2 linked regions of the Caenorhabditis elegans genome follow. The protein of the gene in region 1 interacts with the protein of each later gene in a pairwise test. Each region holds a gene or a part of one and is shown in the gene's direction. Other genes may lie near its edges.

Region 1 (3,929 bases):
AAGATTTTGAAAAAAATCATTATTCCATTTGCCAAATTTTAAAGTTTAACTTCAATGCTCACAGTATCAGTTTTCAGCATTTTTCCTTTTGAAACATGCGTTTTACTGTGGGCTCTTCTCGAATTTTTCTCGAGAATTCTTTCCCACCATCATATTATCTCCTCTTCTCTCTTCCCCGCTGAAAAAAGATTTCCATCCCCTCTTCCCATTCTTTCTAGGATAAAACAAATCATTCGAATGATTTATGAACATTTTCTTTTTCTTATCCCTCGCATATTGCTTTCAAATTTCCTATTTTCTCTTCGATTTTTGTCATCTACCTAAATTGTCAAAAACCAGTACCCCCATCACCATCGCCACTTTCCCCCACCCAACTCGATTTTTATCGCATTTTTTTTCGTTCCCATCCCCCACTCACCCCGATTTTTGTGTCTTCGAATAAAATAAATCTTAAAACGTCAATGAAATGTGTTCGAAAAGGAACATAGAATGTGGATGACTCATTAACGAATATCTCGGTCCAAATTACTTTCATTGCTTCCTACGTAATGTGGCTAACATTTGCTGGCATGAAAGTTTTGATGTGAAATACGGTCCCAGGTCTCGGCACGACTGAAATATTTTGGAAATGAAGGTCGCGAAAAGGGTTGTGCGCCGTTAATGAGTACTGTAGTTCGATTTTCTCGCGTTTCTCTCCACGATTTTAATAGTTTTTTTTTTCTGTTTTCAAGTGTTTTCCTTTAAAAATAAGAGAAAGCGAGAAGTAAAATAATGAAAAATCGAAGAAAATGTGTAGTAAAACGAGCAGAAAGGCGATACTGTACTCTTTAAAGGTGCATGGTTTTTCCGCGTCCAATATTTGAAAGATGTCGATCGTGTCGAGACCTGGCAACCAATTTTATCTTAAAAATCGCAAAATTTAGCGAAAAATAGTATCACATCAGTATCATGCAATTTTTTCGAAATTTGATCCGCCGTTAAAAACAATCTGAAAATTTTCCTTACGATATTCGTTCATCTGATTGTGAGCACATTTTATGTCTATAAAACAGTAAACGTAGAACCAACTCATCCTTCAAAAACGAGCACAAAATTTCGATGAAAATTTCCTGAAAATATTTACTACCACTTAACTTCATTATTATTTAGTATTTGGGTCTATTCGTGTCTTTCAGGTTTATTCATCCAACCTGTTCGTTCACAATGTACATAAAGTATATACTTCAGACATTGCCTCGAGAAGAATATCATTGAAAGGGAAATTATAACGGTCTTATGTACAGGTTATTGCTTTTGAAGCATTGCAAATTTTTGCAGTGGTATTTTTTCTTGTTAACATCGATAAAATTATACTAATATATTCAGTAATTCTGTGGAAAAAAGTTGAGTGTTCATTCAGTTACTCGGGCGTTCGCTCCCACTTTTCTCCAAATTACGCTCAGTTTTAATTAGGTTCATCATTCTGGGTGTGATCACGAGAAGATATTCATTATAACATTAATCTCGATTATTTCCCCGTTTAATCTCGGTTATCATGTCTCACATATTATTCCCATGATATAATTAATATTTTGGCGAGGTAGCTTGAATTCCAGTTTAAAAAAAAACTAATTTTAAATAATTTGTTCACTTTTACTTTAGAGTCATTCAGAGTCATTTAGAGATCACAAAATTTCGCGTCTGGGTGATAATTTTTTGAGTATACAGCTGTTTTTTAAATATTATTTCTCATAAATTTATCGAAAAAAAATTAGATTAGGAGATTCTTTGACACGGTCCTGGTAGAATTGATGTCCAATATATAAATATCTTATGACTCAGTCACTCACACATGACTCGTCTTCTATGCGTCTCCTATTTTTCGACACTATTTTCCATCTCACATTGTTCTACCAATTCCCCCCTTGTTTCCTTCCTCACTCTCTTTCCGTCCGTTTGTCCGTCCGGTGTTAGCCCGCCGCTGCTCTTTTGTCTCACCTTTGGAGCCAGAAGCCACCGCCAGTTTTTCGCCTTTTCAATTTTTTTTGTTTCAGAAAATCGTGCCGTCGTCATTGGGTCACACGAAGTTCCCAACATCTTCGGAACTTCCGACGGAGATGACTGCGTTGCGTGAAGCACGTGGGGATTCTTCATCGGCTGATCCAATTAATGGAACACGTGGAAAAGCAAATATCAATGAAAGGAAATTTGCATTTCTGAATCAGGTAAATAGCCAAATTTGATAAAAGTTACAAAGATAGAGATGGATTCCTTATCGAAAAAATTTATAAAAAATAAATTTGTTTATCTCAGAAGAAGTATTTCAAGTTCAAATACATTCAACTATATTAACTTTAATAAAAATAGGAAACAAAAAAATCGTAATTTAGGATTTTTAAAAGATATTTGATATTTTTCTAATGCTTTTCTCACCCAATTAATAATTTGATGGTAATTTCAAAAAAATCAGATATGAGAAAATTATGAAGTGTCTATTTTTTAAGGAAAATCTCCAAGTATCATATTAAAACTTTTCGAAAAAAAAAATTTCATTTAGAGTCAAAAGTGATAAAATTGAGTTTTTACCTATCATAATTTTAGAAGTCGATCAAAAAGGTTCTTACAATTTTTAAAAAAATAGTGTTTCAAATGTTTTTATTTAAAAAATCGAGTTTTCGAACCTACGTCAATACTCGAAATTACCCAAAAAGTTGACATTTTTCGTAAATTTAACAATTCCCAAATTGTTGGCTTAAAAACCGAAAAAATTCGGAAAATCTAAATGTTCTCTTCCTTTTATGACTTAAATAAGTTTATTTTGAAATTAGTTTCGAAACATGATTTTTAAAAACCTCGTTTTTTTTTTATAAAAAAAATTTCAAATCAGTTTTTCTATTCAGGTAACTCGTCCAGACTACCGTAGTCTACCAACATCTGCTGCCACGTCACAATCATCAGTTCCATCTACACCAGTCTCTGTTCCAATGAGAATCAATGGAAATGTAGATCAAATCATGTTCCGAGAGTTTGGAGCTCCAATTGCTACACCAGAAGACGAAGAACAATTGCTCGATGATCTGGAAATGTGAGTCAATTCTTCTTTTTTTCTCTTGAATATTTTATGAGTTTCAGTAAATCTGCGCCACTGCTTTCACCGCGACGTACATTCGCAGATTTTGAAGATCGAAGCTCAGAGGAGAAAGAGAATCGGAGAATTGAGGAAGATGATGATACAGAAGCTGATACGACGATTCGGGAAGAATTTGATTATGAAAAAGAAGAAGAAGTATTGAAAGAAGAAAAAATCATTGATAAACCGAATGTAGAAACTGTTGAAGAACACAAGGAAAATAAAAACGAATCTCCTGATTTCATTCGTATGGTGGAAAGTGCTCCAGAATTGACAACATCATTTGATGAAAAAGAAGAAACAAATTACAATAAATCACCGGAACAAGAAATTGAAGCTGAAGAGATTCGAAAAATGACAGAATCATTTGGAGAACCACGGAAAGCAGTTCTTGAGCGGGTTACTGTAGAAGAAACTGACGATGAAGAGACTGAAACTGAAACAGAGACAGAAAATGAGGAAATGGATGAAAAAGATGTTTATGATGATGTTCGAAGACAGGTGAGCTAATTTATTTTCAGAAAATATTCAAATTTGAATATTATATATATACTAAATATATACTTCGAGGAAAAAATAATTTTTAAAAAATCAACTCAACTCCTCTTTTCTTAAACTTTAGCAATAAAAAATTCAACAAAAAAAAATTAAAAATTGAATCTTGAAGTCGCGGAGAAGAAAATGCATAAGATTGGGTTCGAATTTCTACTTCAGGCATCTCATTTCCCATCTGAATTCCATCTGAAATTTGATATAAAATCCTTCTTTTTCGAGCATTTGCTTCGAGACGACGACGGTTTCAAACTATTTTTTAAACAAA
Region 2 (3,929 bases), on another chromosome or scaffold:
ACAGCTGTTCCCGAACCCGTTGGGAAAGGAAAAGGAAAGAAAGACAAGAAAGCTGCTGAAGAGGTAAATTTATCAACAAAAAACTCTTGTATGTAAATTTCAGGCAATGACAAAAGCTCTCGACGAATGCAAGGCTGTCGTCTTTCTCGAACATATAAGAGCGATGCACGTTGAACTCCGATCCGCTGGAAACTTCCTTCATACCTATCTTGGACAAATGCTGGCACTTGAAGATGAGTACATCCCGAGTAACATTGGAGAAGATCTTGGAGGGGTACGTTAGATATATGATATATTTATACATATATGTAGAGTTTAAACCTAATTTCAACACCTAAATATTTCAGGCTAAAGCTGCATTAGAAGGTATGCATAATCCAGTTGCTTCTCGCCTTCAAAGATCTTTTCTCAATACATGTGAAGATATGCACACAACTATCAAATTAAGATTCTAATTTTTTTGTTTCAGAATATTTAGACGTTGTTTTTTGTTCATCTAGGCTCCTTATTTTTTAGGCTCCTTATTTATTAATTTGTTCTTTTTTTTTTCAAATTTGTAGTAGCTCCCCGAATTGTTTGTCCCCATCTCTAAACATAATCATTTGAGTTCATCATCGTTGGATCTCTACAGATCAATCTTTCGCCTTTTCTTTCTTCCCCCGATGACGTTTTTCTTCCTCCAAAATACCGATTTCAACTGTTTTTATTTCGCCCTCTCACTATGTTCATGTTTTTGAAAGAATAAATTGCTCTCTGACTTTTTTTTTTTTTCTTGCTAACTGTGTCCCCAACCATCCTTTGTCCCCTGTTCCCTCTTCATTCTATTTCAACGAGCGGTCACCGATGTGACCAATAAGCGCAAAGGCACTAAGAAATTGGGAAAATTGAGAGAGGGTTGCGCCATGAAGAGACGCAAAGATTAACACAAGGGCACATTTACCTTTATTCTACCTACATCTATCCCCCAACACAACGGACACTATTTTATATCGGTTGCAGGGCGTGGGGAAAGGTCACCACCAACACTGCCCCAGTCTGATGTGATTCCATCCGGGTTTCGCAAATACTTTTTCAATTTCACGTTATTCAACATTTTTATGATAGAAATTCATTTTGAGCAAATGACATAAACAACATGAGATCATAGTGACAATGTTTTCAAATCCATATATTTTTTCGAGATGATTAAAGGTGGAGTAGTGCCAGTGGGGAAAGTGTTAAAAACTATTCCTATGGTGCCAAAAAGACCGAATATCATAATTAAACCTTTCAAAATTTTTTTTGAAATTTTTTATTTTATGTCAAAGAGTGGCAACTATTATATGTGTATTTAAACAAAATTCCCACTGGCGCTACAGTACTCTGCCTTTAAATGGAGTATTGCCAGTGGGAATTTCTACTCGAAAAGTCCATGAACGAATATCATAATAAAAACTTCGATTAAAAAAAAAAGTTTTGAATAGTTTTAGTAAAGTGACAAATTTTCGTGAAATCTGGAATTTTTTGGACAATTCACTACAATGTTGAAATAGAAATATTCGAAAAATAATTAAAATGTAATATATATGGAAATCTTCTCTGATCAGAAAAGAAAATAACATTTTGGCATTCTTCCAAAATGTGAGAACTTGCCACGTTTTGTCTGGAACATCCCTCATCCCAACTCAAATTGTTCAATTAAAAAGAACGGTGTCATGTCATGAAAAAAGAATTTAAAAGTGCAAACAAAAGAACGATTCATTTTTGTTTTCTTTGTGTTCATCTTCATTTTCTCAGTCTCTCTTTACCTCCTCCGCCTTCCCTGTTATCACTTATCATCTCATCATTTCCTTTACTCAAACATTCACTTTTAGCCTTGTTTCTCTCTTTCTCTCATTCATTTTCCGCTCAGTTTACCCACTTTTTTTGTTTCTGTTACCTGTTACTATTTCTTATCGCGCAAAACAAAAATCGATAATAATTATTGAATTAGTTTTTTTGAAATGAGAGCAAAATTTCAGTCAAAATGAACGGATTACTGCATATGCATGGTCCAGCTGTCAAAAAGCTTTTAGGTTGGAAAATTGGAGAAGACGAAGAAAAATGGTGTGAGAAGGCTGTTGAGGCATTGGTGAAAAAATTAAAAAAGAAAAATAATGGATGTGGTTAGTCAAATATATTTTTTAAAGGAATTTATAATAATTTAGGGAGGGACATTTCTGAAAAAGGGTCTCGACGCGCTTATGAAAGTTTCAAAACTATTTTTGTGATTACCTTTAAATTTACAGTAGAAATATTTGAGCCTCCTTCCTCTTAGTCTAATTTTTCTTACGATTTCTTATGATTTTCATTTTTTTTAACTTGCAAAAAACTATAAAAACAGTAAGAAGAAAGCACCAAAAAACAAACTTAACATTTTCGAATGTATTCGAAAATACTATTGGCGCGGCGAGACCCATCCGAATGTTAAGCATATTGTTACGGATACAATATAATATTATGATTAACATTTTCCGATGACCCTTTTCGATTCATGAATCAAAGTGCACCTTATTTATAAGTTAGATCATAAATATTAAAAAAAAAGAAATTCAACCGATCCATTTCAAATTCTAAATTCCAGGAACCCTCGAAGATCTGGAATGTGTTCTAGCAAACCCATGTACAAACTCAAGATGCATTACGATAGCAAAAAGTTTAGACGGTCGGTTACAGGTATGTGGCGCCGTTGTGGTTGCTTAACGTAAATTTGTTCGCTAATCAGACAACTGTGATAACTTTCAAAAATAACACTTTGGTTTGAAATAACGACTTTTTGACGCCAAACTTCCGGCTTTTCAGGTATCCCATAAGAAAGGTCTTCCACATGTGATTTACTGTCGAGTATGGCGGTGGCCGGATATAAGTTCTCCTCATGTAAGTTAATTGGATATATTAATTTGAAATTTTTGAATGTTCATTTCAGGAATTACGTTCAATTGATACATGCTCCTACCCATATGAATCTAGTTCCAAAACCATGTACATCTGCATTAATCCATATCACTATCAGAGGTTTGTTCTGAAAGTTGTTTAAAATTGGAATACATTTCAAAAATGAATAAAATTCCAGATTATCACGACCACAAGGCTTAAATTCTTCAATGCCATCACCACAACCAATATCATCTCCAAACAGTAAGCGTTGGATCTAAAAATTGTTTAAACATATCAGAATCTTCTATTAAAAAAAAACAACTAAACTCTCTTTAAAATTCTCTAGGGAAATTAAATGAAAAATACATAAAATTGCAGCTATCTGGCAGTCTAGTGGAAGCTCAACGGCATCTTGTGCAAGCTCGCCGAGCCCGTCGGTTTTTTCAGAAGATGGAGGAGAAGTGGTTAGTTTTTTTGCAATACACATTTTTGCAAAAATTATAATTTTCAGCAAGTTCACCAGCGACCTCCACCGTTCCGTCATCCCAAATCCTGGGCCCAAATTACGTATTTTGAGTTGAATTCGAGAGTTGGAGAAGTTTTTAAAGTGAGGTTTTGATTTTTCAAAACAAAACAAAATTGGAGTTTCAGCTAGTGAATCTGAGCATTACAGTCGACGGATATACTAATCCATCAAATTCAAATACAAGGTAAGATTTTGAAAGACATTCGAAAGTAGAAATAAATTGATTTTAAAAGTGAAAAAACCAAAAAATAATTAGTTTTTTTCGATTTCGGTCGGACTTCTAAAAAATGTTCTTACAAAATATAAATATTATTAGTTTGATTTAAATTTCCTCCATTAATACGGTATAATACATATCTTCTCTATAATATTATCATAGTTATTAAAAAGTGGACACTTCGAGTTAATTAACGTGAAAATTGCTGATTCGAAGCTTTAACTTCGAGAAGTTCTGAATAATAATAATTCTTACCGGTTTCTTTATTAAAATAATCCGGAAATTTCAGAA

Evidence for each region.
Region 2: the proteins of C17E4.10 (region 1) and sma-3 interact in a two-hybrid assay, tested with the Caenorhabditis elegans proteins (one large-scale study listed by BioGRID).

Annotation. Positions count from the first base shown.
Region 1 is NC_003279.8:9,433,369-9,437,297, forward strand, and holds the start of C17E4.10 (PRKC apoptosis WT1 regulator protein), read left to right. Parts: upstream 1-2,096; coding exon 2,097-2,204; intron 2,205-2,879; coding exon 2,880-3,064; intron 3,065-3,111; coding exon 3,112-3,610; intron 3,611-3,929.
Region 2 is NC_003281.10:6,862,040-6,865,968, reverse strand, and holds the start of sma-3 (Dwarfin sma-3), read left to right. Parts: upstream 1-2,000; 5' UTR 2,001-2,005; coding exon 2,006-2,144; intron 2,145-2,602; coding exon 2,603-2,694; intron 2,695-2,820; coding exon 2,821-2,895; intron 2,896-2,944; coding exon 2,945-3,033; intron 3,034-3,091; coding exon 3,092-3,156; intron 3,157-3,273; coding exon 3,274-3,359; intron 3,360-3,406; coding exon 3,407-3,502; intron 3,503-3,546; coding exon 3,547-3,605; intron 3,606-3,927; coding exon 3,928-3,929. Other genes in the region: cra-1 (N-terminal acetyltransferase B complex subunit NAA25 homolog), read left to right, coding at 1-63, 104-274, 348-455. UniProt on the Caenorhabditis elegans protein: Involved in TGF-beta pathway. Plays a role in male tail tip morphogenesis.